Lytechinus pictus: one gene and its partners. The protein of the gene in region 4 purifies or fractionates together with the protein of the main gene of each other region. This does not show direct contact. Links are inferred from orthologs where the notes say so. Each region holds a gene or a part of one and is shown on either strand. Other genes may lie near its edges.

Region 1 (7,778 bases), on a different chromosome or scaffold from region 4:
ACAAGTATAGGCTAAAAAATAAAAATAACAAGTATTTTGGCCAATTCGTCGGTGCATGTAGAGCAATGGTATGCCGACCCAGGCTTCATGGAGAGTAAGCCTACGTCAGTAGTAATAAAACTAATACTAGTACTTTTACTCTCCAGAAGCCTCCATCCAGGCTATGTCATGTACTGTACATATAGGACTCTAGACCAAAAGCTTCGGTCTCTGTTATGTTGGTTGTTCAGCTGGGGCCTGTTGCATGAAAGGGTCTTTCGTAGAACCATTCTACGTAAGAACGAGATATCGCTCAACTGTTTCACAAAGCCGATTTGGGCGATACGAAGAATGGTCCTTGGAAAGACACCTCCAGACATGTCCTTCGTAGGCATGATCTTCTTTGCACACCGCCCGCCACCGTCGGCATTGAGAGAAAATGCGTTTACGGCAAGCCATGCACACTGACATATCACCTTTAAACATTTTTTGGGGTTGCACACTGATGCATTTTATCTGGGATGGCGCCAAGTTATTTTTTATATGGGGGCTAGCTAGTTGTCATCAATTTCAGGTCGTCTTTTTGCACGGCAAGACGACCAAAAACAGATGTCATTTTAACTTCTCCGGGCATTATGTCCGGGGGTAATGTAGGCCCAAATATTTTTTTAAAATATGTTTGCTTTTATTCTCCGTCCTATCCCCACACCATTTCCATTACCGTAATTTTTTTTTGAAATATCGAAATGGGCGGCACTATCTCTTTGACCCCTCATGCTTTCTCATTATAGATAATTAAACAACATGAAAACAAATTTCTTTAAAAGAAATTGTGTAAAGTAAAAAACGTGTTTATAACGTTCAGCAAAAAAAAAGGATACAAAACTAAAATGTTAAACATGGTAAATCATTCATTTATTTTTATTTCATTTTCATTATAATTATTTTTTTTTGCTGAGATTGATATTAATCAATGAAAATTAATTGTCGGATTTTTAATTGGGCTAACTTGAGATGTGAAACAGTGAAACAAAACAAAAAAACTGCAGTAGCAAAATAGCTAATTGAATTTAAGATACAGATTAGGAGTATAGCTATATTACGAATCCATCACAATTATTACAAATGAAGATAAGCTAGCTAGTTCATTAAAGAAAAAAATCTGGAAAGTCCATACGAAGAGGCGCATTTTAAATCGTAGGGTACATATAGGCCCCTTTCGGCCCCTAAGTAATGTTAAAGCTTCTCTACTCCTCAACTTTGAAATGTTAAATATATATTTTTTATATTCTTAAAACTTATATTCTTATATAAGCTTCCATAAATTAAGTAATCAACTTTAAAGATGACCAACGTTTATGATCATTGTAATATTTAGCATTATTTCTGTAAATAGTATTTTTTCCATTGCGGATTGCACACCTTTTTCTATGTTTTAATTGTTATTGCAAAGCACTACTTTATCCACTTAGACATGTTTGCAGCAATTTTCATATTTTCCTTGTCTTCGGTTACTCATCATGCAATTGAGGTATGTTTGTACTCTAAACACTCACATTTGTATTTCTTGCGTTTTATCTGACAAATAAAATAAATAAATTAGATTTTTCACAGGCAGCCTCTCATATTTTCCTTTTTAGTCTCATACAATCAGACACTGTTGATTTTGTTTACTCCATTCAAACCCAATTTTTAACCTCAACAATTAACGCATAATTTGCAAAATTATCATTGTATATATGTATTCTATAAAAAATCAGTATATTGAACTAATAAAATGTCGAAATTACTTAGTTAAATCAATTTTTATGTCGGACAAGGGTCTCTTTCGTTGAAATATCAATGAAAGGTGTCTCTAAAAGGACACCGTGTTCTAAATAAGGGAAATAATGAAAATTTCGATTTTATCCAGTTATGTTTGTGAATCTTGAAAGTTTTTTCTCTTTTTACCTCATAAAGTACGCTCCATACATCAATTCTACAATCAGTAATAAATAAAACATTATTTGATCCCCTTTTATTGAAATATATGATTTTATGAAAAGTCGTCATTCCGAAATAAAAGGTTCAGGTGACGATGAAGACTAAATATTTTTCCGATACTATCGATATCAAACGATGTCGCGGACTTGAAAGACAAAATTGCCTTCGTGAAACGGAAAGCGCTGATTTGTCGCCAATCTTCCTATCTCGGAAGAATGGTCCTAGGACGTTCCTACGTATCGCTCATCTCGTCATGCAACAGGCCACTGAACTCCGTTTAACGGAAAGACAAGACAAGACAGTGTCAAACAATCAAGCATTTGTTCCAAAGAAAAAGAGAAAATAAGCCAAACATTGCCAACCTTATTTTGCAACACATGCCATGGAGTACTAACAGAGAACAAGGTTATATTTGCATTATCCTGGTTTAGGTCACCACTCCATTCACTGCCGTTCATTTCGTCAGCAGCGGTGATCTCATTTCCCATTGACTTTGTACACAACGAGCGCACACACACACCGACACTCACGAGAAGAGGTGACTTATTTCAGGATAAGGCCGTTATATCATGACCTTGTTCATTGAATAAGTGGACTAAGCCTAGGGCTAGGCTACTATATAGTATTAATGCAAATGCAGTAGGCCTAGATCGAACAATAATAATTAATATTCCTGCAATTATTCACTGCGTTTAAAAATTCAACCCTACACAGAAAATATGGTATGGGACTACGCCCAGCATTTCTTTACTATCATCTTCACAATAAAACCCATTTTACAGTAAAGCATTGTATCCCACAAAAATAATACGCTCAAAATATTATTACCTTCATCTGAGATAGGTTCTTAGAAAGTCTAATATTTTTGCTTTGCCCTCTCGTTCCGGCCATTTTGACAAGGAAAGCAACACTGTTTTACCTCTAAAACCACGCATACAGGCATTCGTTTTCATGAAGCAAACTAGAATTGGAAAATACGACACTGGAGAAGAAAAAAAAATAAAAATAAAAATGCACTTAGTTAGCAGGGACGTCCATGCCCAGGGGTGATGAGAGTCGTATAATATTTTGATTATCAAATAAAAAAAAATAACACAAATTTAAAAATGATAATAAATGATAAAATTAATAACAATAATAATAATAATTATCAGTGGCCGCGGAAGCGGGGGGGGGGGGGGGGGGGCTGGGGGGGATTGCTTCAATCCGGCCCCCACTTTTTTTCCAAAACCGTGTACAAAAACGTAAAATGACCATATGATAGTGATTTTTTGCATGGTCAGCCCCCTCACTTTTGGCTCAGCCCCCCCCCCCCCACTTTGAAAACCGTTCCGCGGCCCCTGATGATAATAATAATAATAATAAGTAATAATAATAATAATTAAAATTAAAAAAAGCTAAACATGCATTTTCGTTTGTTCATTGAACTTCTAATAAAGGGATACTCCGGGCTGAAAACATTTATATATTAAATAATTAGAGTAAAATTTACAAAGCAAAATGCTGAAAATTTCATCAAAATCGGATTATGAATAACAAAGTTATTGAATTTTAAAATTTAGCAATATGCACGCATCATGAATATTCATTAGATGGACTAATGATGTCACATCCCCACTTTGCCTTTTCTTACGTTATAACATGAAATCATAATTGTTTAATTTTTTTCATACATGAAATGTGTGAATAATGTGTCTCCTTTATAATGAAATAAGTTGCAGCAATGAATATATCAATATCATGCACTAAATCAGTTATCAATCCAATTTTTTCAGTTCTTGGTAGAAAAAAATTGAATAAACCTGATTTCATCTAATAAAATACAAAAAAACAAGTAGGGATATGACATCATTAATTTGCTCATTGAAAATCCATGACGAAATGCCTAGAAATCTGTTTAAATCATATTATTTTCAGCCCGGAGAATCCCTATATCAATTTTCATCATTTTCATGACTTTTTGTTTCCAAATTGAAAGACAAATAATACCAAATACCAATATCAAATAAAAAAAAAATTATATGTGTCGTTATTAAAAGAAAACGGGGGAAGGGGTGTCTCTAAAGTTAAATTAAGCAGGGTCACTGTCATCGAGTTGAATAGGCGCCTTATTGTTTTGCTAATGACCACACATTCAAATATGTCGCTCGATATTGTTTTGCTTTGTTTTCTTTTTTTACTTCCTTATTTTATTTAATTTATTTAATTTAATTAACTCATTTACTTACTTATTTATCAATTTTATTTATTTTTATTTATTATTATTATTATTTTTTTTTTTTTTTTTTTGGGGGGGGGGATACAGCGATCATGCACGCATTCACAATTACATGCACACACATACCATCTTCCCCCATGATTCACCTCTTTACCACAACAGGTAAATTTTAAAATGTACAACTTTTTTGCAATGATTTTAATTGTCGGGCATTCTGTAACCCCAAAATGTTAACAAGATAATCGACATCAATAAGTGAATGCGGCCTGCCATCAGCCGGAATTTACATGTTTTACGGCGAGCTATTAGCGAACTATCTATTTTGCAGAGTCGAACCCATTCTACGAAATCCAAACTTCCTTTTTTCGGGTCGGGAGAGGGGACTTGCCCTAATGGATGATGACTGGCCCCCTCGTACCCCTGGATTTATAATGACATGATATTACTTGAAAATGCACTCTTTTCTGATAAAATCAACGATATAAATTCTCTATTATCATGATTTTACTGTTATACACTATGCAACATGATCTTGATGGTACCTTACTAAACATATTTTCTTTTCATATTGAGGGAAGTGTAAACTCATCAATTGATCAATAACATTATACTGCATGAAAATGTACCATATTCTAACAAAAGTAGCGAAATAATTTATGTATGTACGTACCACAGTAATTAGACCATGTAGAGTCGATTATAAAAAAAAAATTACACCTGTACTACACCCATCAAATATCATAAATTGCCTCAGCTATAACATATTCAAAATTCCGCAAAAATTAACGCATAATTATAACTGAATATTCAAGTTAGACCCATAATCTATTAAACATTCTTTAAAAAAATAAGATAATGCAGTTGTTAAGGAAAACATATTCCAAATTTTCATAAACGTTTACCATACTCATAAACATAACGGAATATAATTTTCAAATTCTATCGATTGAAAGGCCATAAATTCATGACATGTGTAATGTTCATAACAATGATAAATCCTGATAAATAAAGATTTTAAAACTACTAAGGAATGAATTTGAGTATAATACGAATAAATTGGATTATACAGTATATAAAATGAAATGTACGCAAACGCACGTTTATTCTAAAAATAAACATGCAAATTCGATAAAGTTGAATGTAGTTGTACATCATCCTCCATCATGCATGTAAGAAGTCCAACGCCATCAAAATTTATATGAATTTCGGCCACGCTTATACTTTAACTCAGCTTGACAACATTTCTCTGGGTAAATGACATTATATACTTGATTAAAAATGACAAAACTTTTAAATGACACATTCGCATTATCATATATAAAAAAGCTCCTGTTGAAAACGTGAATTCAAAGAGGTGAACTGATAAATACTAAACTCGAAAGTCAAAAACGGGCCTAAGCTTTCGATCCTAGCAGAATCTTCGTCGGAGGCAAAATGACCAAATACTAAACTCCTCAAAAAAAGTTTGGAAATCTGACTTTGATCGATAATCCCTCCTCGGATTTAATAAATAACAATGTTTAATTAATATCAACGAATGGGACATTTAATTTTCTTTAAAATGATACCCTACATGATATGATTATGGTTCACATGGAGGTGCAGTGCCTTGAAATGTGGGGCAAGTTCAAAATTTAAAAGTTGCAAAATGACACAATATTGAACTTTACTGTTCTTTTATCCGTGGTGATGAGTGAGTTTCTCAGCGGTTTCTTTTGACTTTGATCGGTATTAGTAAATATCAATGTGTAATTAATATTAATGAATAGATCATTTAATTTTCTTTAAAATGATACCCTACATGATATGATTATGGTTCACATGGAGTTGCAATGCATTGAAATGTGGGGCAAGGTAAGAATTCAAAAGTTGCAAAATGACACAATATTGAAAGTCACTGTTCTTTTTTTCAGTGGTGATGAGTGAGTTTCTCAGCGGTTTCTTTTAACATGTTTAATTGTTTTCATGCACCTTAACATCAACATTAACATGGAATCAAACACACCTCTGCACAAGCAAACACATAACAAACAAACATGCATGGGTATTTCAAACCACGACTCAAACCATGTTATCTCACAGAACCATCACTACAGAAGCAGGGGCTTGATTTGAAAGGATTTTCATCTCTATTGACGCAGACAAAAGAATAATGTTCTGTATCATGTGTATTGACCGATCATAACAAGCATGGAATCATTTTAAAGAGAATTAAATGATCTTTTGAATGATGTAAAATATGCATTGTAAAATTGGGAGTTGGGAGAAATTAATGGCCAAACACAGATTTCCAAACTTTTTTTGCTCGTTTTGCAGCTTTTCAATTCAGACCTCATCCAACACTTTTGAATTCTGTTCTTTTCGTGATGGCATGATCATAACAAGCATGGTATCATTTTAAAAAGAATTAAATGATCTTTTGAATGATGTTAAATATGCATTGTGTTAAATTGGGAGTTGGGAGAAATTGATGGCCAAACACAGATTTCCAAACTTTTTTTGAGGGGTTTATATTTTGTGTACTGATGATGAAATTACTATATGTTACAACCACATGTCGTCTTCCTATTTATCTCAACTACTTCCTAGAATGAAAAATGGGCATGCACTAGCGATTTTGATTGATTATTTAGTGATTGATTGCAAACATTTGCATTACAGAGCCTCGATCTACTTGTGATAGGCTATCAGAAGTAAAATGACACGTAACAGATTGAGAATAGTTTAATATTGCCCCCCCCTCCCGTTCATGAAAATATCCATCGGGTAATCATCTGAAATTTGACTAACATTTATGGTGAGTGTTTAATGAAATAGTGTATTGATAACGTATGAGAAAAGAAAATGGGCAATGAATGAATGAATGATAGGCAATACCCTTTTCAAACTTCATATCACATGATTTTTGACAAATTAAATGTTCACAGTTTGATTCTAATCATTCCTAATTCTTTTAGAATATAGATCAAATGACAATAATATTTTGAAACCGAAATTGGTATACATGCATGTTTCCGATTTTTTTCATCATGATACAAACACACAAGCATATATATTCATATAATAATTGGAATAAGCCTATGACAGGAGACATATTGTAGTTATAATTTCGTGTAGTACAGTTCCTCGGTTCCTTTCCAACGTGATCATATTCCCAAGTAAGACTGGACCTTATCCAAGGTTTCCCTAACTTTGGGGAAGTTTTTCTTCTTACACCAATCTTTGAATCGTTCCGTCGCCTTGGGCGCTTGTTCGGGTTTCCTGCAGTAGAGACGTACGTAACGCTCCTGAAATTTCTTCGGAATGATCCAGGAAACCTATTTTGAAAAAAAAAACATATTCCATTAAATGATGAAATTTCTTTAATGATAAATTGGAAATTATAAATACTAGTTTGAGACTTGTTTTAAATCATATTCCTCGAGGGTGCAAAATGGCCGCGTCACAAAAAGCTGTTTCGCAAATCTATTGCAGCCTTATCATTCTGTCTACACCATTAGCACGAGCTGGGGGTGTTTCACAAAGATACGTATGACTGATGGGGTGTTTCAAGAAACTTGCGATCAATAGCAAGTCAATTTTTGGTCCCTAAATCAAT
Region 2 (6,933 bases), on a different chromosome or scaffold from region 4:
CAATTTTTTTTGTTTTGGGGTGACTGAATTGCCTTAGAATTGATGTATTACAATCCCACGCCTGCATGCATCTCTTCATGATATTACATCAGGTTGCAAGACACCCAAGTCTTACTTTGAATTGTGCAGGTAAATTTAGACTTTAGATTGTTTAAAAATTTTCACTTATATTCTTTATTATTTGTTTAAAGTCTGTAGAATATAATTTAGGATAAATTAAATTTGAGTGTTAAATTCCTTAGCTGAAAGTGACATATATAATCAGTGTATTTCATTTTCTTTCTTTTTTCCCCTCCCACTTATACTGTTTCTGTCTTTTTTTTCTTTTTCATACACCACCATGTGCTTTTATCTCTCATGTATTGTCTCTTTCACCTTTTTTCTCTTTTAATTTCCCTTGTATCTGTTTTCCCATCCTCTAATCTATTTATACAGGAAATATATGAAGAAGGAGATGGATGCTGGAAGGAAAATAAAGAGTGTCCATGGGCCAGCAAATCATGATGTAATAAAACTGTTTTATATGTATTTTTCTTTTTCTATGACGTGTATTTTTTTCTCATTCAATTCTAATTCAAAGGAAACATGTTACAACACTGGCCTGTAATTTTGATGGTTTATGGCCAGGCCACTTTTCTTCAGAACACATTTCTATATAACGCAAATGTGAAAAAGTTCAAAAGGTCACCAAAAATATCTAGGGCTAATAATAAGTGGGGCAATGAAGCCAATTAGTAGCATGCAAGATCATACCTTTAATGGCATTGGAGTAATTTTAATAATTCAAATCCTACTATTACAAAAAATATTTCAATATTACAAGGCCTGAGTCCTTTGGGGGAAATGCCTTTGCTTCCATCACATTAGGTATAATTGAAGGAAAACAAAGACCACAGACTGAATTACAGTACTCTCTTTGATAAGCAGTCTGTAGAAAACCATCACAAAGCTTAATTTTCGAAAAGTTTTCCATCCATTTTTTAAAATGTATTCAATTTGAGAAGAATTTGGATAATCATAAGTGTCTGGTGTGTCAGGATACAGAAAAGTAATGGTGGTTAACATTTTGTAATTTAATGGATACATTTGATGGGTAACACAATACAGATTATGTTTTCATGAACAGGCAAGTTTAATAGAGTCACAGCACCAAACTGTGTTTTTGATAAGTTTGGCTTTGGTTTGATCTGTTCTATTTCCTTTGACTTTTGAATTCTAGAGGGTTAATGTCGGGACTGTCTTGTGTGATCACTGTTACTAAGTTGAAGTCAGTTTTAGAGGGTGCAGATCAATCAAATTTCAAAACATTGATTGCATTTTACTTAACATTTATTTTAATGTTAGTGAATTTTCTTATGGGATCACACTCAAATAACAGGAACAGATTGACAAGTAATAACAAGTGTCATGGCCTGTGTTCACTCATATTTTTCTGGGATCAGTTTATTCATTGATAAGTGCAATAGATAGATTCACAACAGAAATGCCATATCATTCTTGCATAATCTTTTATGTGATTATATGGAGGAGATTATTGAAGTAGAATTTTTTATTTAAAAAAAAAAATAGTTTTATTATTATTTTTTTTTTATATAAAAGTCATGAGTGGGAGAGCAAAAATATATCTAATTGAGGGTTGAGAAACAGGAAGTAACTAATTTGTGTAGATTTGGTAAAAATTGATAAGCACTGCATCTAAAGATTATGAAGGGTATTATTAAAGCCTTTATTACAATGAACTTTCTGTTGCCTGTAAAGCAAAACAACACCTCACCCCATTTCAATAGCTTTGGTAGAAAAATATATACAAAGGCTTACGTAGGTAATAATAAGAAAACACAGTACATGTATTAATTGCCATTGAACTTTCCCATGTAAGCGAAAGATCATTCTTGTGAAGTGATTTGAAGTCGTGTAGATGATTATCAAATATAATTTATGATGTGACACAATGACATTTATAGTGAAGATGTGTTTGTGCCTTAAATAAGTATATTTATTGATCTACTACTTGATTATAAAATTGAGTTTTCAATGAAAATTTATGAATTTTTGTCTTCTTTGTGGATTTTTGTGATTGTGATTCTACTACCCAAGTATAAGGGACCAGGGGGCTTTTTGTAAAGCTGTTGGTAAGTTAAGAGCGACTGGTGATCCTTTTTTGTGGTAAATCAGGGAATAATTTTCCTGGTATCGCATCGCAAATTGCTTCACATTTTTGAAAGACTGCTATGCATAAAATCTTTTGTATAGCATAATTTTACATAGGACTGTACATTACTTAGTTGAGAGCTTTTCTCTTAAAACCAAAAATGCTATTCATATTTGTAAAGCAAAATTATTCCCTGTAAATGATATTCACCATTAAATGTTCGTTGGTGATTATTTAGCGCGTGAGAAAGGTTCACCAGTCGTTCTTAGAGTCACTCTTAACTTACGAACAGCTTTATGAAACGGCCCCCTGATATGTTACTTGAGATGACATGTTGCTCTTTACCAAGAAGAAATTCTGATTAAGATTTAGATGTAAACTTCAGGATATATTGGAAATGTATAACATGTCAGCCTTGTTGGGACAAAACTTTCAGACAAAGTCATTGCCTTGATCTGGCTAGTCCCAAGTCGTGAAAATGTTAAATTACTGAACAGCCTAGCTTGTATGTCAAGATGGGCTTGATAGATGTAAATGCAAAAGTCTCTACTCAGTGTCAGTTCCATTACTTGGGGATAGACCGATTCATGATAATAGAATCTTAATTAGTCTGCTGTTAAATTCTTAGTGCAATTTGACTGTGGAGTCCTTATGCATGGAGAATGGACCAATAGTGGATGAATTACTGAAAGGGGAATAAGTGGGCTTGACTTTGACAACCTCAGTGCTGCCTTGAAGATTTCCCAGACATTTAGGACTACATGTATAGTCCATTCGTTAAAAGAGAAGTTCAACATAAAAGTTTTGGATAAATAGTTGTTTATGAATTAATTTTGTGGAGTCATGCGAGTAAGGGGAGGGGATCAAGGGAGAAGGGCCCAGAAGAAGAGGCCGAGAAGATTGGAGAGCAATCATTAAGATGGAGAACAATTTTCACTCATCCTACAGTCGTTATTTATATGCCCATTTAAAAAAGATACAATACAGGACATAGAATTTTGGAAGACAAATTAGACAATCCATATTTCAGTATTTTTTTGAAGATCGTGTTTAGGGATATTTTTTTGTAGAAAACAGACCATTTGTGCCGAAGCAGGCCTAAGTGTACTATAATTTATGGTAGCATCCTTCCCTGGGCTATATCATTTTTTCAGATTGAGACATGGCGCCAAATATAGTGCTCGTCTCCCGAACTCACCCCACAAGCTACTCCCTTCACTGACTGTCAGTTTCGCCCTCCAAAATTGTATAGTTCAGTGGCTTTGAATCCAGCTATGTTGTCTCTTAAAGGAGAAGTTGACCCTGACAAATGCTTATTGTAAAAATAACTGAAAAAAAAAACATTGTGAAGGTTAGAGGAAAATTCATGAAAGATTAAAAAGTTATCAGTTCAATTTTTTATTTGTGATATTATATGGGAGCAGCTTTCCATGTATCATGAATAAAAAAAACAATGAAATGTCATTTCCTCAAAAAATTGTGAATTGTTTTTATTGTACTTTCAATATATCAACAGACAAATCACCCACTCCCGATGACCCCCCCCCCCAAAAAAAAAATGAAATTCATGCTTTTTATATTACATAACTTGTGGGGCAGCTGCTCATATATGACGTCATAAATAAAAAAATGAAATTCTAATAACCATCTAAATCTTTGATGGATTTTTCTCTAACCTTCACGATTGTGTTTTTATTATTATTATGGTACTTTTTAAACAAACTTTTCTTCAGGGTGAACTTCCCATTAATTTAGCGGTACGGTCAGCCCATTTTTTCTTTAAAATTTGTAATCTTACGGACTCCATGTATTGTAAAACGGGAAAACCAACTAAGCTAACGAAAACGAGTAAAATTCAGGCAATTTCTGACCTAATGACCTCTTTCACTTGCATGATCTGATGCTGTATTTTGTGAGTATTCGAGCTGTCAAAAATATGGATTATTAGTTTTGTAAATATGGTTCCCATGATGAAATAAATGGTCTCAATGCAAGCCGCGCGCGTAGCTCAGGCTCAGCCTCGGGTCGCCGCCGCTTTGCCTATGGCTACTGGCTATACGCTAGTCCTCGATCCTAGATCCTCCAGCTCCAGCGCACACGTATGTTCACGGCCTCAACTCAGTGGAGCGCGCCATTGAAAGGCCTTTTCGCCTAGCAATATTGTTAGCGACGTTTGTAAGCATCACTTTGCTCACTCTCCAAAATGTCTGCGACATTAAAATTCTAAAAACAATGGATTTATTGAATTTTAGTGAGGCTATGAATGTTTATCATTTACATTGACTATCACTTATCAGTGTAACAACATATACCGAATTTACAAGCAAGTGTGGGTAAGACTAGCCTGGAGGCGTCTGGGGAGTGAAAGACATATACTGTACGTATGGTCCCTCCCCTAACGCCTGGGAGCCTAAGCTATATTCCCACACGCACGGGTACAAAACCTGAAACTTTCGCCCCCGAGATTTCTACTTTCCCTCTAAAAGATCTAGCCCTAAAACATGTACATGGAGTTAAACTCCATTCCCAACATTTCTGCGATATTGATTACATTTTTAAAGAAGAATTCATGAAAAAAAACGAGGAAAATGTTATGAAAAGATGAGAGAGCTTACGGCCGTGTTTACGTCGCCATCTTGATTTCTTTGTCTTCCGCTTGGCGACAGCACGCAATCGCGTGCTGATTGCGTGCTGTCGCCAAGCGGAAGACAAAGAAATCAAGATGGCGACGTAAACACGGCCGTAAGCTCTCTCATCTTTTCATAACATTTTCCTCGTTTTTTTTCATGAATTCTTCTTTAAAAATGTAATCAATATCGCAGAAATGTTGGGAATGGAGTTTAACTCCATGTACATGTTTTAGGGCTAGATCTTTTAGAGGGAAAGTAGAAATCTCGGGGGCGAAAGTTTCAGGTTTTGTACCCGTGCGTGTGGGAATATAGCTTAGGCTCCCAGGCGTTAGGGGAGGGACCATACGTACAGTATGGTGAGACTACCACATATCGACCACCTCTTTTGAAACCGACCACCTTGCGCGCGTTAAAATTATTGCGTATTACAAACGATACGCGCGGGAGAGTAGGCGCAGTGTCCATAGAAACGGTAAGAATCGATTTTACGAGAAAAAAAGAAGCAACAAAAAGTAAAAATTTAGTAGAATTAATCAAAATTGTATTGACCAGACCCAATTCCCGCTGAAAAACCAAGAAATCCGATAGGAAACGGCTTTAGAACAAATATCCGTCGTCAATCGTCGAATCATGTGCCGGAGCTCGCAGTGGAAGTAGTGAGACGATCATTTAGCATGTTGACTTTATAGAACTGATTTGGAAGAGTAAAAATATTTCGCCACCGCGACAAGAATCGGCCGTAAACTTAGTGTATCGCGGGTGGTCGGTTTCAAAAGACGGGTGCAAATGAGCAAATGTAAAATCGTCGTATTCGTTGTTCGTCGATATATACGCGGATTGAATCGGAGTCGCCGAGCGAAACATGGGAATCTGATCTGCTCAATTTTCTGCACAAATGGGACTAAAACTGGGTAAAATTGATGAATATTTTCGCAGATACGATGCTGAGAAGATTAGGTGGTCGATAAGGGGTAGTTCCAACCATATATGTCTTTCACTCCCCAGACGCCTCCAGGCTAGGTAAGACTTTGAATTATCAGTCATTTCGATGCAATCCCAAAATTGATGAAAATATAACAGAAATTTGATATAGCATTGCAAAATCCTTATTTTCATATCCCCTTAAATTTTAATTATTTGCAAAAGCATCTTAGTACGTTTCCTAGAATTTTTCACAACTGATAACGGTGGTGGCTTATTGATTCTAGTTTTTTTAAAGAAATGGCAGGCATTTGAAATCAGGTAAATTGTTGTTATATTTTTAAAAGAAAATCGTTAGATTCGAACAACTTACTAATAGTTCTCCAAAAGAAGGGTTATATTCTATTATCTGTGTGTAAATGATACATGACGACAAATTTTACGAGTATATCATTGCATGTTGGATAACCTTTTCCACGATGAGTTTCGTAATTGAGAGAAAAATCAAGTTCATTCCTAGCACGAGAGCCGCAGAATGATAAATTTTAGCGTGCGCACACGGGCTGATCGCCGTGTCTGCGGGGACGGATATCTAGTCCCATACTGGTGTAAGGTGGTATTTTCCACGTACCTTTTCCCCTTGTAATGACCACTTCGCACTTTAATACTTAATTTTGACACTTAATCTGTGAAATTAATGGTTTAACGATTTTGGAAAATGTTCGGAATATACCTAACACATAAATGATTTCATTTTCTAGAATTATTATTTCTTTCCTGAATTACCAAAAGGCAAATTTAGGTCAAGATTGCATACTCACATTGACTGTTTAGCATAGCGCATGCATATCTATTACAATTTCTATTATGTGTGTCTATATTATATAAATTGTCCTGATGTAAATATATGTTATAAAATCATATTGGATACAAAAATCATGACGGGTGTCATGGTCTGAGTTTTCTTTGTGTATAACAAACAAAATACTGCATGATTCCAATTTTATTTGAACATGTCATCGTATGCAACGGCAATTTCAATCAGTTTATAATTTTCTTTTGCTTAGTCAGCGTTTATTTTTCAATGTGCAGAATTGGTTCGCAAGCGGTTTTTACACCAAAGAGCTTGCCAAAGAGCTCATTCCTGGCACTTCGACTAAAGATGGATATGATTATTTTGTTTCTCATGGTTATCCATTTTTAAAAACAATATTTATTTACTGCAGCCAA
Region 3 (7,887 bases), about 18 Mb from region 4:
AATCTCCCACATGTCATGGAAGACAGTCTCCCAAATTGGCTGTGCGCCTCTTAATTCTGTTGAAAAACTTGAAATAGGTCTAGTCTAGATTGAAAATAACGATTAAAAAGGCAAACATTGATGCAAATTTTATTGTGTGAAAAGACAATTTAGAATAAACATATTGCAAAAAAATCTATAGGTATAAGTAAGACCTTCTACTTCTAAAAATATGTCAACGGTCATAAAAACCTAACGTCCATGTGCAGTGAGTCGCCATGTGCAATTTTTTTACTGTTGCGCCACTCACCTGTCACTGCCTGACTACAATGGTTCTAGAAATCTTTTGCAATGTTGAAAAGTGTCTTGTGGCATCTGATATTAATCCTCAGTAATTCCCTGAAATGCTGCAACGTTTGGTTAAAAGATCCAGCAAAATACAAAGGAGTTTAGCGCAGTCAAAGTCAGACTTGCAAATTTGGATTCGTGCGGTGTGAATTTAAGCTGCCATTGTTCTCGGGCGACGATTTGAGACGCCCACACTAAGCAATCGATGTTTCCAAAACTGCCCGCTCAAGTTACCAATATTTGGTATCAAAATATAGATTATAAAAAAATGCTCACGATCATTTCATTTTGAAGGTGGGGGTGACAATTGTTATCAAAATAAGAGGGGGTGGCGACTCAACGTATATCTCAACCCACGGAGAGGTTTCAACAACACAGCTGAGTCAATGCACTTTTGTGTATGGTAGGGGTTCCTAAAGCTGCGCGGGTCCTAAAGCTATGCACCACTCCATTGCGCATGCAATTTCAATGGGAAAATAAATGCGCACTCGAGCTCTGTGTGTGAAGCAGTGACTGCAGAGTGACGAACGATCCTATTCAATTTTTTTACAGAGGCTGCAATAAATTCTTGAATGCAGAGAAAACCACCAAATGTAGGAATTTGTTATTTATGTTCACTTTAATTTCATATTTCCCTATAATAATACGAACACATTTTAGAAATTGAGGCACAGGAAATACTATTTCTTTGCATGATAAATCGAGTGCGTAGCTTTAGGACCCCTTCTACATCGGGCGGCGAAATCAAGAGGTGTTCGGAAAACACGGCGGGATTTTCGTATTAGTGAGTTCTGTGATATTTTCTTCTTGGTTAAGGATTATTAGAATATTAATTACAAATTAGTGAAAGACAAATGGTTCAAAATCAAATATTAAAATTGGCATAGTTTTTATCGTTTGAAAACAAAGTGCGTAGCTTTAGCCCCCCCATCATACGATCGGTGCGTGTGTGTCCGCATGCGCGATATGTCTGTGTAGTAAATGTATTGACTATTGGATTTTTCGAATCGGCGACTCAAAGTCAAAATATACCCATCATTGTCAGTAGAGGCGCTGGTCCAAAAATTGGGATTGTCCCAGAAAACAAGGATATCCTCATAAACCAAGACAAATCATGTCTTGATAAATTGAGACTGTCCTTGTTTATGGGGACGTTTTTTTTTCACCTCCCCCTACGGGACAAAGACAGCAATTACGGGAATTGAGAGTGCTAAAAATAGATTCAGTGACCTCAATTACCCCCAGTTCACCGTCTATTTTTCATGACTTACTGTCTTCCAATAATCTTGTTATGAAACCCGATATGTTGAATACATTGACTAGCACACTTGATTGGTGTCGGCACTTGACAGGTGAATGAACTTTCCTAGATTTCTTGTGTGAAGAAATCCTTATAAACTGAGACAGTCCCTGTAAACTGGGACGATCCCAATTTTCTGACCAGCGCCTCTACTGATTGTGTCGCCGTTCCGGAAGTGTTTAATTCATGATGTTCTTAATCTTACTAAAAACTGTAGTAGGGTGTCTGGAGTAAAAAATTATTTTTCTTATTTCAAGAAAATATCACATATTCTTTGTGAATTTGAAGAGAAATTACCTTCAGACTGACAGAAATGTAACATTTTTGAAAAAAATCCAATTATTGGCTGCAAAAAAGAAGAATGAAATTAGGTAAATTTTCAGCATTTCTCTGCCATAGACTGTGTAGTTAAGAAATGGACACACACAAATCCAAATTTTTAGCTTCCGAGAGCTGTTATAAATTTATTATTAATGCCAAAAACTTGTCCATAAAGAGTCCAATAGGATTTTTTATGCTCTATCTGATGGTATGATTTTTATAAAGATTTGGAAACCAGATCACAATGAAAAATTGCGACAAAGTGAAAAAAATTGTGCAAAACAGAAATTTCATTCTCCCATAGAAAACGCATGGAGAAATGGCAATCTCAACACACACAAAAATAAGGGTTTGCAATTTATCTCTAAATCCTTATTTTAAATGATCATATAAACTTGTCCTTACTGTCAAAAGAAGCCCCTGAATTTTCTCTTTCCATACATATCAAACACAAGTTAATAATCAATTCAGATCACATTTTTCTAGTAGCCTGAACTTCCCCCAAAAAATGTGCCATATTTTCCCCTAAATTAGCCTGTTTTAAAACTTTTATGCTGACACTTTTCAGTGTGGCTTCAGACACCCTAACTGTAGCAATTTCAGGAGAAAAGTTTATCATATATTTGAAAGGATTTGTGGATACTTTCATCTCATACAAATATTTGGGTAAGAATTTTTTTTTTGGTTGCAAAATTGAAGGTTGAAGACTGCCGATGGCGACTCACTGCGCATGGACGTTAAAGCTAAACTTCCTAAACTTAAAGTCTGTTAGAACTACATAACATCATTTACAATAGATGGGACACCACACAAATGTCACATTAGTCATTACCTTTCCATTGATATCGGCTAAGCTGACTGAATTTATAGGTTTGAATACATCTTCTACTTCATTTAGTGCTGCCTTGAAATCGTCTAAATTCTGTGCTATCTCTTTTGGAACTGCCATGACTTTCTAGATAATGAAATTTATCAATTCACAACAGCAGAAAGTAGTTCCTGACGACACGCATGCACGAACTCTGACCGTACCTACCTATACCGTACGCACCGGAGCGCGAGCGTGAGCTGAGCCAGCTAGCATCGTACCCGATCGTACCCCAGCGCGCGCGGCGGCGACGACGCGGCCTAAAATCAGAAAGCTAGTATGAGAAACATGAGCTAACTCTCGCGCTGGCGACTTTTTCACTTTTTTTTATAAACTTATATTGTTCATTTAAGTATGCCATATCTTATGTTTAATTTACATTCCTTTTTCGGTACTCCTCACCTCAAGAATTCTTTGCTCACATTTAAAGGAGAATGAAACCCTTGAAACCAGCTGAATCCATATCAAAGAGAAAAATCTAAGAAACATATTGTTGAAAGTTTGAGGAAGATTGAATGAATAATAAGAAAGTTATGAGCATTTGAATATTGAGATCACTAATGCCATGTAGATCTTCCTATTGGCAATGTGACCAAGATCTGTGATGTCACACACGTACAACTCCCTCATTACTTTAGTACTTATTTCACTTATATTCTCACTTTTATAGAGTCTATCACAAGGTAAGGTGTTCTCTTTATATGAGAGGACAAGTGCATAGGTTTCACAACATTATATCATTGATGAATCGTTTGTCATATGATTAGAATGAGCAAAAAGAGATGTTTGGGGTATATTTTCAGTGTCCAAAAGGGGAGAGTTGTTCATCTGTGACATCATAGATCTTGGTCGCATTGCCAATGGGAGAATCTCCATAGCATTAGTGATCTCGACATTCAAATGCTCATAACTCTTCTATTGCTAGTCCTATTTTACTCAAACTTTTGTTGATCTTATTCTTTGATTTTTCTGCTTTCACAAAAGCTAACTTGCTCCAAGAGTTTCATTCTCCTTTAATTTCAATTTACCCATTTCCCGGCCAGCCCCCGCCCCCACAATCCTCCTAAATTCCTCTACATTAAGCCCTCCCAGGACCAAAATCCAATTGAAACCAGTTGGATTTCCAACTGGTTTCAATTGGTTTCAATTGGTTTCAACTGGTTTCAATTGGTTTTAACTGGAATTTAACAATTTCCAGTTGAAACCAATTGAAACCAGTTGGGCAACTGGAAATCCTAACTGGAACCAGTTGGGTAACTGGAAATGACCTCCAATTGGGAATGATTTCTAACTGGAACCAGTTGAGTAACTGGAAATCCCAACTGGAACCAGTTGGGCAACTGGAAATCCTAACTGGAACCAGTTGGGTAACTGGAAATGACTTCCAATTGGTAATGATTTCTTACTGGAACCAGTTGAGTAACTGGAAATCCCAACTGGAACCAGTTGGGCAACTGGAAATCCTAACTGGAACCAGTTGGGTAACTGGAAATGACTTCCAATTGGAAATGATTTCTAACTGGAACCAGTTGGGTAACTGGAAATGACTTCCAACTGGAAATGATTTCTAACTGGAACCAGTTGAGTAACTGGAAATCCCAACTGGAACCAGTTGGGCAACTGGAAATCCTAACTGGAACCAGTTGGGTAACTGGAAATGACTTCCAATTGGAAATGATTTCTTACTGGAACCAGTTGAGTAACTGGAAATCCCAACTGGAACCAGTTGGGCAACTGGAAATCCTAACTGGAACCAGTTGGGTAACTGGAAATGACTTCCAATTGGAAATGATTTCTAACTGGAACCAGTTGGGCAACTGGAAATCCTAACTGGAACCAGTTGGGTAACTGGAAATGACTTCCAACTGGAAATGATTTCTAACTGGAACCAGTTGGGTAACTGGAAATCCTAACTTGAACCATTCAGTTGTGTAACTGGAAATCCTAACTGGTACCAATTGGGTAACTGAGATGACTTCTAACTGGAAAGATGGGTAACTGGAAATGAATTCTAATTGGAACCAGTTGGGTAACTGGAAATTATTTCCAATTGGTTTCCAATTGGAAATTTTCCAGTTACCCAACTGGATCCAATTGAAACCAGTTAATTTGCATATTATTTGCCAGTGTGCACAGATTAATGTTTTATGAGATTAATCATCATTAACAATGTATCTATTTAATTCTTTACAATTTCAAGTACCACACTTTTTAAAGATTAGTATTTAGAATACTTAGCAGTGAAAACCATGTTCATAAATGTTATAGATTATAATTAAAACAGATTAAAGGATAATTAGTACACCACTAACTGTTACCAAATTACATCAAATAAAAGTACATATATTTGAAGATCTTCCATATAAATATATAAATACATGAAAGTCTGTATTTTATCAATGCCCTTTACATTGGTATTAATAGACGTATAACACTGCTTCTGTGTTGGCATGAGAAATAGTTACTGCAAATGCTAATTAATTTGTAACTAATTAAGTTCGTTCCAACTGGAAGTTCCAATTGGATCCAGTTGGAAACCAATTGGTTTCAACTGGTTCCAGTTGAAACCAGTTGCCTCCAATTGGTTTCAACTGGAACCAATTGAAACCAGTTGCCTCCAATTGGATTCAATTGGTTTTAATAGGGAAATTGGAACAACTGGAACCAATTGACAACAATTGCCAACTGGTTCCAGTTGCCCAATTGGTTTTAACTGGAACCAATTGGCAACTGGTTTTCAATTGGTTTTTAACTGGAACCAATTGGCAACTGGTTTTCAATTGGAACCAGTTGTTCCAATTTCCCTATTGAAACCAGTTGGCCAACTGGTTTCAATTGGTTTTGCCCTAATTGGTTTTAACTGGATTTTGGTCCTGGGCTTCTATTGTTTTTTAATTCAACTATTTATTCTTTTATTTAGGGGACCCTCTTCATCTATAGCAGTTACAGCCATAATTCTAAACCATTGGCAGTGTATCCTGGCGAGAGATTGGGGGAGGGGACAATGGGGGGGGGGGGGGGGACATCCCCCACTCAATTTTCAAATTTCATACAGGATGATACAGCAGCCTATAGGAGAGGGCCCTCTAGTCCCATCCCCCTCCCCTGACCAAAAATCTCATGAATTATTGCCCCCTATGCCCCTCCGTCTTTCTCTCTCTGCTTGTCCTCGATCCCCTTTCCTTGTCCATCAATCCCCTCTCTCCTCCCCTTCCCTGTGCTTCTCTCTTTCCCTTGATATCTCAGTCTCACTCTAATATTCATTCCCAATCATATTTAATACTAAATGTTCTCTCATTATCCTCTTAGACATTGACACATCCTTTATTTCTTCTTTTTCAGCTAGCAAACAGCCACTAGAATTACAAATACACTGTCAGTCATATTACATTGATTAGAGTTTTTTTTTTCAAATATATTCATTGCACTTTTTCTTTCACATTCAACATTACTGATAAATAATAATATACATTATATTTGAAACACCAAGATAACCAACACACAAACTACAAACTTTAAACAAAACAATGAAAATAATAAGCTTGCACCTTAATGGGGGGGGGGGGTAATACACCTGTATTTCATCCAAATGAATCACTTTCTGAAAAATCATATCTTAAACTAAACCAACCATTTTAGGGATTGCAGCACCCAGTTATTTATGAAATATAAATTCAAGGCTGATTGAAAAATAAAGGAAAAGAAGGAGGGGGGGGGGGGAGGAAGAAAGCAGAGTGTAAAAAAAAGATGTCTGTGTTTTGTAACAATCAAACTGAGAGTTTTTGACATTCCTTTCATTTAGTCTTCATACCTCATCTTATGCAGGTTCCATGACGATCTGTTTCCTCAACTTGAGCTTCATATTGACTAAATATTTCTTTAAAACTCAGTTTAGCAACTGTTCCAGTAATACGAGTACTGGTACAAAAACTTGATAAGTATGGACACTAAATACACAGAAGATGTAATGCATAACATAGAGAAGGCACATTCATATCTTATATAGATTTTTGTATATACAGTGCGTCCCAAAAAAAACTATACACTTTTGAAATGGCTGCCAAATAAAAAGTATATCACTTTGGGGGGAAAGACCTATACATATGGAAAGCCGATAAAGTCATCTTTTAAATGACACCAAAATGTTGGAAAACTATTCATGCTTGAGTGAGCACTACCCACTTAAACAAAGGGTATGAAAATTAGGGTGGGCAGGAATTAGCCTTTCGGTTTCTTTCAGTTTTTGAGAGGCGAGTCCCTTGGAACTTGCAAACTTGAGGGTGTTCTGATGAATTGATGGTCATTCATTATCAATTTAAATTGTTAGAGCAAATTTCATGAATTATCAAATTGAAATTCCATGCATGAGTGAGCATGAATTGCAATCTTTAGTGAAGCATTTTAACTTACAATGTGGGTCTCAGCAGTGTGTTCATTGGAGTCAGGAGAATAGGGGTAAGAAATGACTTCAGTGTGTGAAGTAAGCTGATGGGAAAAGGGTCAACAGAACGTTTAGCCTCCCTCCTACAGGTCCGTCCCTCCCCCCTCCTGTTGAGATTGAGACTGATTGCTATTACATGTACGCATTAAGTGCAAAGCGGACTGTCAATTTGATAATAAATTCTGAAAATTAGATCATCAACTTTTATCTATCAATCATTCAATCAACAATCTGTTAGTAAATAAACTCAATCAATGTCATCAATCAAATATTCACCTTTTTCAATAAATTATCAATCAAACATTCAGCTTTTTCAATAAATGATTTCATAAATTATCATAATTAGTCAAGTTCTTAATAAATCATTCGATGGAAAAGAAAGACCCATCAACCATCAGTCACTTGGCATTTTAAGTTTTAAATACCAACCAAGAGAAAGAAAGGGGTGGAGGGCGGGGTGAGTACATGACATGTAATTTGTAAGAGAACACAAAGAAGAATGCCCCTTTAACCCAGTCTTACCCTATCTCATCCCCTTGCATGTAACAGGTACCATCACATTACTCTGACTCTCACAAGCACACTTGCTAAGATCCACATAATAAACGAAAAATGCTACACTAAAATTAC
Region 4 (7,810 bases):
AAAAGGTATAGTTCACAAGGAATACTATATAAAATTATGAAGGAAGTTGCATTCCCATCGTGCAAAAAAAAATTACTATGAAATTGTTTTGCGTATGTACATGCACTTACCAAGTACCTAATTGTTTGTATCAGACAATTTTTTTTCTTCGTTTTTCGGGGGAGGGGGTACTTTTCCCAACCTATTACCTAAATCTGCAACATTTGATAAGCTTTTATGAATGGGGGTTTCCAGGGCCCGTTTATTAGTTTCTAGGATTCTTTTGAGCATTGCCGGGCTAAAAGTAAATTCCTGGTTTTTATACCTGTTAGTAGTGTGGATGTGTGATACAATTTTTGTTTTTGGTTTACAAGTATAGCTGAAAAGTGAAATTTGACAGTTCTGATTAATGTTGCATGGATCTACTAAAACTGTGTTTTTTTTTTCTAATTTACAAATAGTTCAGTTTCAGTTTAGAAGCTGGAGTTTATTTTTTGTTGACAGCTTAAAAAAGAAATTAGCAAAGAGAATGATTAAACAAATTATGAAGAGAAATGAAATCCGACAGATATGAACAAGCATTGCTTGCACTGACCAGAATAGAAATCAATAACACTGCATGGCTGCATAGGAGACCCTTATTCATTTCGCCTTTTTTGAGGGGAGGGGGAGGCTGGAGATGGAAAAGGTTTAAAAAGTCAATATAAAACTGATGAATATAAATGAGTGTAAAGTCAGAAAAATCCATGTGTACAGTCAATACAAAATTGAATTACTATAGGAATACATGTAGCTGCTATGACCCCCCCCCCCCGAGTAAGTAAAACATACATTTCTTATCTTTTGACAATTAAAAATGTGAAGTATTATGAAACTTTTATGATTTTAAAAAGCCTTACATATAAGTACCAAGAGAATTATGCCTTTGAAAATCATATAGCACTGGTAGATGTTCATGTGTAATGTCAGTTACCGACAAGTAATAATAAAATATTCAAATCAAAGAAAATTAATTAAGAAAACGAAAAAGTTTTTTTTATTGAAATGTTCCTAGAAACTCACGTATACTTCCACATCAAGCTCACTTTCATGTGAAGCCCTGGCAAATTAAGTGTAATGTCAGTTACCAGCATGGTCGTGGAAAAATTATCATAGCCCCCAAAAGACAAAAGCAAATTATTTAATATTTTGACACGTCTTAACCTAGTAACAAAGGTATATTCACATATTCAAATTATTACTCTATCTACTCAGGGACATGAGATCTTTCAATTTTACTGAACACCCTGAAATTGCATGTCCTTTTTGTGTAACGTCAGTTACCGACACATTTTTGCTTGCTGATGCGTTACAAATGTGGTTACAATGAAAAACTTAGTATCAAAGTATACAGCAAGGTTCACTTTATTAACTCTATCAAAAGCAAACTCCCATCATTTGTTGTTTTAGAGATACACACAATGAAAGGTGTGTAAAATTGTGCCGTGTCACGTCAGTTTCCATGAAAATGCCCTAAGGAAAAGTAGATACATTGTTTGTGGAGATTAAATCAAAAGCAAATTTAAAGAAATGTATGTTGTGAAGAAATGAAATACCAATTAATCTGATCCAATTGAATACGGTTTCAAATAATCTATTATCCAAAAAGTTTATAAAAATCATTGTGATCCTGCAAAATAGATGGAAAGCAGGCTAGTAATGAACAGATGGACCAATCTTGGAAGCATTACAGGAACCTTGTTTTCAAGTTCTATGTTCATGCAATTAAAGCCACTAGAAAGGTAGCCTTGTCCACATGTGTTTAAAAAACACATTACCTTAAAATAACAATAATAGGGTATTTGTATAGTGCACAATGTTCTGTATTCTTAAGTCAAGTTTGAAATTAAATGTGCAAAATTTGTTTACATTGTACAATTCTTTTGTTTACTGTGCTCTTTTCCCATTCTTTAATGGTAATTGAAATTATTTCAGTTATTCTTTTAAGAAAATTATCAATTATTTGAGTAAGAGATGAGCTGGTAAATTGACCCTGTACTGTTAGAGATTTGTGTCACAATTGGCTACCCATCGTTAAATGAGAGTTTAAATTCTACTGGAGTTCAGATCATGACCCATGTGTGTCAATTTAAGGATACAGCCCCTGCATCTTGGATCTCCTGGATGATGATATCAACAGAAGAACGTGGGAAGAGTGTGGTCAAGAGGACCGTCTCACAGGTATTCCTGATCATCCTCTCCAAGGCTTTCTCTCTTACACCTGATGAAAAAAAAAACCACATCATACGATCATGATGAGTAATAATTAATGTATTTGAGATTATAAATAAGATGGCTGGGGTCTGTTGAAAGTATATATTGAGCACCTTGTCAAAAGGCTATACTGCATCTTTTAGCCAGAATCTAGCTATAATCCAGCTATGCAGCTTTTCATAACTTTCTGGTGGTGATTTTTGATGAAATGCGATGATTAGCAATGAAAGTCCACTTGCAGGCTTCGTGCAAAAAAGGCCCCTTTCACAGGTTACTCCTTCCTACTGCATATGTAATACAAGGCCACTACATGATCTCCACGTAGCCTTAACTTTCCAAAAAAATGTTATGATCTCTTAACAATAATGTATGATTGAAGTATAGATGATGAGGAAACCACTAATCAGTCAATAGCAGTATGTACTACATTTCTCCTAGGATGTGTAAAAGAAATATAATGAACAAAGATACAGTGAAAATGAAGAAATGTGCTGAAAACTGTATTCATTTACAATGCACGCAAAATTGAATGTAATATTGTAAAACATTTTATTAAGTATTGACAATGAAATGTGACCAAAGCATTAGTTGGAAAAGAAAAAAAAAAGGAAAAAAATTGATTGAGAAATTTCTTTACCTGCCATTCCTACTTTTGGTTTGTATGTAACTGTTACTGTTGCCTTGTCCATGAGAGCCTTATTTGGTTTGATATCCCCAGGCCCATAAACTGCAGCCATTACTGATGTATCACCTGCAGTACAAAAACATCGAAGGAAAAAGAATATCTTGCTCAATGCCACTTAAAATGACAGCTAATCACATTGGCAATTATATATGGATTATGTCTAGAAAACAAAAAATGTTCTTGATATCTTTAAAATCAAGTGGACGTTGTAACTCTGGCAGCTCTGCTACTCGAAGTAGCAGATATCTGAATTTCTTGTGACTCAAGAGCTATGTTGTATCAACCAAAAGTTCACTAAGGCCCGTATTCTGAAGTTGGGTTTAATTTAAACTCTGGTTTTAAGTTGTGGTTTAACTATGGAAAGTCAGTTGTTACTTAATCTCCAACAGTAGAGGTTCAATGTATCAGCTCATTTGACTCCCAAAACATTTTAACTGCCTGGGAAGGCATTAGATAATTAGTGAAGAGCACACTTAAAATGAGAAGCATTCACTGTAAACAAAATTTTGAAATGTTTGGCTTCACATAATTTTAGCACGGAGTTAGACCATGGTCTAAGTTAAACCCAACTTCAGAATACGGGCCTAAGTATTTTTTCCCAGTCTTTAGGGTAACCAATTATGTGTGACTGATCCCTATCAAATCAGCTTATAAATAAGCCTTTGCAAACCACAGCCAGTAAAGGATCAGGGGTCCGTTGCAGAAAGAGTTGCGTTTAAACGCAAGTCAAAAAATCAATCGCAAGTCCAAAATGCGCGCTGTTGATTGGTTGAAAATCAAGTTGCACATGATTTTTAGAGTTGCGTTTAATTCAACTCTTTCTGCAACGGGCCCCTGTTGCTTAACCTCCCCAGATAAACAATGATATTCCAGAATTAAAATCTGTTTCCTATGAGATCATGAGTACTGTATTTGAGTCAAAGTGTTCAACTTTGACCACAAACATTGCAAGAACACCTAAGATCAAGGATCTTGAACCTCTTGTAGATCCTTTAAAATGGCATTTCAAGTCCAGCATAATAAGATGGATCCAAGACTGGGACACACATTTAAAAGTAGTATTCTATTATTGTACATTGTAATCGTTTTTTGTTGTAATCAGTGTATTATGTGTTGTATGTTCTGTGTAACCAATTCGTTTTGTAATGTTGTTTTGTTTTTCGTTGAAAAGGCAGCACCTTGCTTGACATATATGCAAACTTCTTGATGCACTTCCCATATTATCTTTGTATATTAATATTGGAATATCTAAATATAAATGAATTGAAGTACAAGGAGCCAGCATCTAGCCCTGCCTTTGATCCATCAAAGATTAACCTCAGCAACAGCAGACAAGGAGAAAATTCAGAGAAAAACTCATCAATCCCAAACATGGACCCCCAAATTGTCCAAAAGAACAAATCAACAGTGCATAACACAAAGACCAGGCCTTTCAACCTGCTGCCAATAGAGAAGACTTTGTAATGGTCTCTCTTAATATGAAGTAATTTTGAGTATCCTCCTTCATATTGTTCCCTTAAACAATGTGATTACAACAGAAGCACTTCTAAAGTTAGGCTCATTAAAGTACGACCAGCCAATTACTCTTTCTTGCAGATCAAGGACACTGATGAATCCCAATTTGATAAAGAGGTGCCTGAGAGCAAATGCAATATTAAAGACTCTTACTTGTAGATCAAGGCAATTGGCGATTCAAGATAAGATACAAACATGCTGAGAGTCGAAGTGAGTGAAGCTCATTAACGTATGACCAGCTAATGACTTTTACTTGCAGATTAAGAACACTGATGAATGCCAATTGATACAGCCTGAGAGCAAATGCCAGGAAAACAGAGGTACTTTAAGTTTGGGTCATCCAAGTTACACCAGTCGATAATTCATACAACTTGCAATTCAAGAGCAGATACATTTTTTTTGTATTCCATGCTAATAACAAGTGTAGCATTTCTAATGCAAGGGTCGTTAAAGTAAATCCGGCACATGACTATTACCTGGAGATCAAGTCTGCCAAAGACTCAAAACCTGCAGAACAGGATTTCAAAAATAAGGATTAAACAACATCAAACAACAGTCATTTCATTAGCACAAGTGACCCCCTCCCCCCAAATGTTTTTTTAAGAACATGGACCTCCCATTTGTCCACATGAAAAGGTCAATGGAGCAAAATAAAAAGACTGGCCCTTTTCACCTGCTGCTCAACTCCCCTAGATACTTGAAGTAACAAGTTATCTTTTGCTGGTTTGGGTTTTTCTTTAGCAGTGTAAATGTAAGTGAAATAGAGCCAGAGACAGCATTAGTCTGCTAATGAATGAATGATGAAACTATGAATTGGCAAAATTTGAAATCAACAGTTTGAAAAATGTCTGTTTTCTCATTAAAAAAATGTTAGTCATTGAACGAACATGGAACGAACCATCAGAGAGTAGATTCCCAAAGTCCACCAACCTTTGAATGAATCTAGATGCAACTAGAGTCCTGAACTTCATTAGGAGGAATTTTAACTTGTGCACTCTGTTCATTAAAGAACTGTATTTGTCCATTGTAAAGCACCATGGAACCCTTACACTCAAAATAAGGTTGACACTTGACTGTTTTTTTTTCCATCTGTTTAGCATTAAAAAAATCTTATTATAACTGCTATTAATTCTACATCTGAGACAATACTGGAAGCTAAACGGGGATGGGTATCCAGGATATGTGGAAAAGGTGCTAACCTCATTGCCATTCTGAAGGACTAGAAGAAGGCACCACAGCTCTGAGAGTGCATTTATTTACATCCTACTAATAGGCCCATTTGTATAGTGCAACCAAGTACTGCAGTTGATATTTGTTTAACCAGGCTGTAGCTGATCACATCACACACACAAGCCGTAGGTTGAAGAGAACGTAGGCTACAATACATTTCCAACAGCAACATACAACTTTGGACTCCTTGCAAATTAATCTTTTTATATGAACTCTACATTAATGGAATGAACTCTCCCCTCTGACAACTGACTGTTGGCTAGCCCGCAGAGATCTACTTCCCCAAAATACACCATTCATTCTAAACTTACCATTCTCTCCAACCAACCTCTAATAAAAACTCCTCTTGGATTACTTTTTTTGGAGGGACAATATAGCAAATAACCAAGTACAAACTTTTCACAAGTTTTCCTGACATGGAAAAATTCCCTAAAATATTAACCTTCAGCAGATGAGCTAACCCCTTAAAAATACTGAATACATCACTACTGGGCTGAGTAAGCTACCTCTGACCACAGGTGATGGTTCTAGTAGTGTAGCAGTCCAGGGCCCATTTTATATTGGACTTGCAACTGTTGTAACCATAAATGGCAACTACCATGGTAACAGGGCTCAGCAGCCAATCAGAATCAAGGTTTCCATGGTAGTTGCCATAATGGCAACAGTTGCAGGTCTTTATGAAACAGGCCCTCAGCTCTAGGTAGATTACGCATGGTTTTAATTGTCTGGCTTGCCCATCGGCCCAACGATTACGTAACGAGCAACATTATCTTTTCATGATAAAAGATAGTAATAGCAGTGTTAGGTACGCCACTGATAATTCAAATCTTCATCCAAATCTGTTGAAACTTACCTCAACATAAAGACAATGTGTCACCCATTACGATGATGCATTGATTAAGACATATGATGAAGAATAACTCAAGTTATGATTAAAAAAAAAAAAGATTTCTAAGTATTATCCATTCCGAACGAATTGTCGACCATCGAGTATCAATCACCACCCCGCATGCGCATTCGGGGATTGCCAATTCGGGGCGGAGATTTTACATCGCGCATAAACGCTTCTCGCGGCATGGTGACGAAGCGTAAGTGCGCATCATTTGTGAATGGTCATTTTCGCGGCGCTCATAAATATGCATGTGTGTTCATGATACGCATATATCGGAGTATTTTGTTGTTGTTTTGCAAGGCACAGTGTGCAAGACGATTGATTTGAGACTTAAAGTTAATTTCACATGTTTTAACTAGATTATCTGAATTACAGTGCACAATTACGACATGGAAGACCATTGGGATGGATTTCAAATATAATATGTAAGTGAGTTGATAACATTTGGTTTTGCATCTTTCTTTTTTCAAGTTGTTTTGAGAACGAGAATTTTTTCTTTCATTTTAATCATCATTTCTTGTTTCTTGTCTGTCCACCGCAATTTTTTGTAGTCCTATGTTACATTTTCCCCTTCAGTACACTGATGCTTGAAAGTATGAAACCGAAAAATGCACCCCCCCCCCCCCCCCCCCCGCGTTCATCCTTTCTCTCGATCCCTAACAATAACAAAAAGGATAATAACATAAGCTGATACTAGATAGAGTTTTGACAAGTTATTAAAGTCGTTTTTTTTTTTTTTTTTTGAGAGAGGTGGGGTGGGGGGGTGATGTAATTCCCATTTTCCCCCCTCATTTTTTGTTTTTATTCGTGACTTGATATCCTTGCCTTTACGTGATTTCCTATGCATGCTCAATCCTTGAAACTTTACATAATTTTGAAATATTTTTACAGATCCATAGTACACCATACAGAACTTTTTTTAAAGGAGCTAGTCTCAAGTTTGTCTCTCTGTTTTGTTTCCTTTTCTGTGAGTTCCTTTCTTCTCATTTTGTTCCTCTCCTGTACTAACTTTACAACCATTTGCTTTTGTTTTTGCTCCTCTAGCCTCACTTTTTCCCAATTTCATTGCATTCATTATTTTGTTTTCTCTTTCATCTACAGGAAATTTTTGTAGCCAGGAGGCTGTATCATTTGATGAAAACATCAGTTTGGATTCGACCTTACCACAGAAATGTTAGGGGCCCTATGAAGCATTGCATCCGCTCTGCCAAACTGCCTCTCACCCGAGATATTTGTAGAACTACACGATGCACTTT

Evidence for each region.
Region 1: the proteins of exosome complex component RRP46-like (region 4) and M-phase phosphoprotein 6-like purify together in Homo sapiens (affinity purification with mass spectrometry; 6 studies listed by BioGRID and IntAct, with this or other methods). This does not show direct contact. The link is inferred for Lytechinus pictus from reciprocal best matches to the Homo sapiens genes EXOSC5 and MPHOSPH6.
Region 2: the proteins of exosome complex component RRP46-like (region 4) and DIS3-like exonuclease 1 purify together in Homo sapiens (affinity purification with mass spectrometry; 5 studies listed by BioGRID and IntAct, with this or other methods). This does not show direct contact. The link is inferred for Lytechinus pictus from reciprocal best matches to the Homo sapiens genes EXOSC5 and DIS3L.
Region 3: the proteins of exosome complex component RRP46-like (region 4) and nuclear nucleic acid-binding protein C1D-like purify together in Homo sapiens (affinity purification with mass spectrometry; 4 studies listed by BioGRID and IntAct, counting the BioPlex papers as one, with this or other methods). This does not show direct contact. The link is inferred for Lytechinus pictus from reciprocal best matches to the Homo sapiens genes EXOSC5 and C1D.

What each region holds. Positions count from the first base shown.
Region 1 is NC_087246.1:60,406,374-60,414,151, forward strand, and holds the start of M-phase phosphoprotein 6-like, read right to left. Parts: upstream 3,001-7,778; 5' UTR 2,854-3,000; coding exon 2,791-2,853; intron 1-2,790. Other genes in the region: deoxynucleoside triphosphate triphosphohydrolase SAMHD1-like, read right to left, coding at 7,327-7,497. UniProt on the Homo sapiens protein: RNA-binding protein that associates with the RNA exosome complex. Involved in the 3'-processing of the 7S pre-RNA to the mature 5.8S rRNA and play a role in recruiting the RNA exosome complex to pre-rRNA; this function may include C1D.
Region 2 is NC_087249.1:24,491,259-24,498,191, reverse strand, and holds the start of DIS3-like exonuclease 1, read left to right. Parts: upstream 1-3,929; 5' UTR 3,930-4,064; intron 4,065-6,933. Other genes in the region: molybdopterin synthase catalytic subunit-like, read left to right, coding at 436-504. UniProt on the Homo sapiens protein: Catalytic component of the RNA exosome complex which has 3'->5' exoribonuclease activity and participates in a multitude of cellular RNA processing and degradation events.
Region 3 is NC_087251.1:44,239,425-44,247,311, reverse strand, and holds the start of nuclear nucleic acid-binding protein C1D-like, read right to left. Parts: upstream 3,019-7,887; 5' UTR 2,898-3,018; coding exon 2,781-2,897; intron 1-2,780. UniProt on the Homo sapiens protein: Plays a role in the recruitment of the RNA exosome complex to pre-rRNA to mediate the 3'-5' end processing of the 5.8S rRNA; this function may include MPHOSPH6.
Region 4 is NC_087251.1:26,028,457-26,036,266, reverse strand, and holds the start of exosome complex component RRP46-like, read right to left. Parts: upstream 3,014-7,810; 5' UTR 2,970-3,013; coding exon 2,870-2,969; intron 2,240-2,869; coding exon 2,118-2,239; intron 1-2,117. UniProt on the Homo sapiens protein: Non-catalytic component of the RNA exosome complex which has 3'->5' exoribonuclease activity and participates in a multitude of cellular RNA processing and degradation events.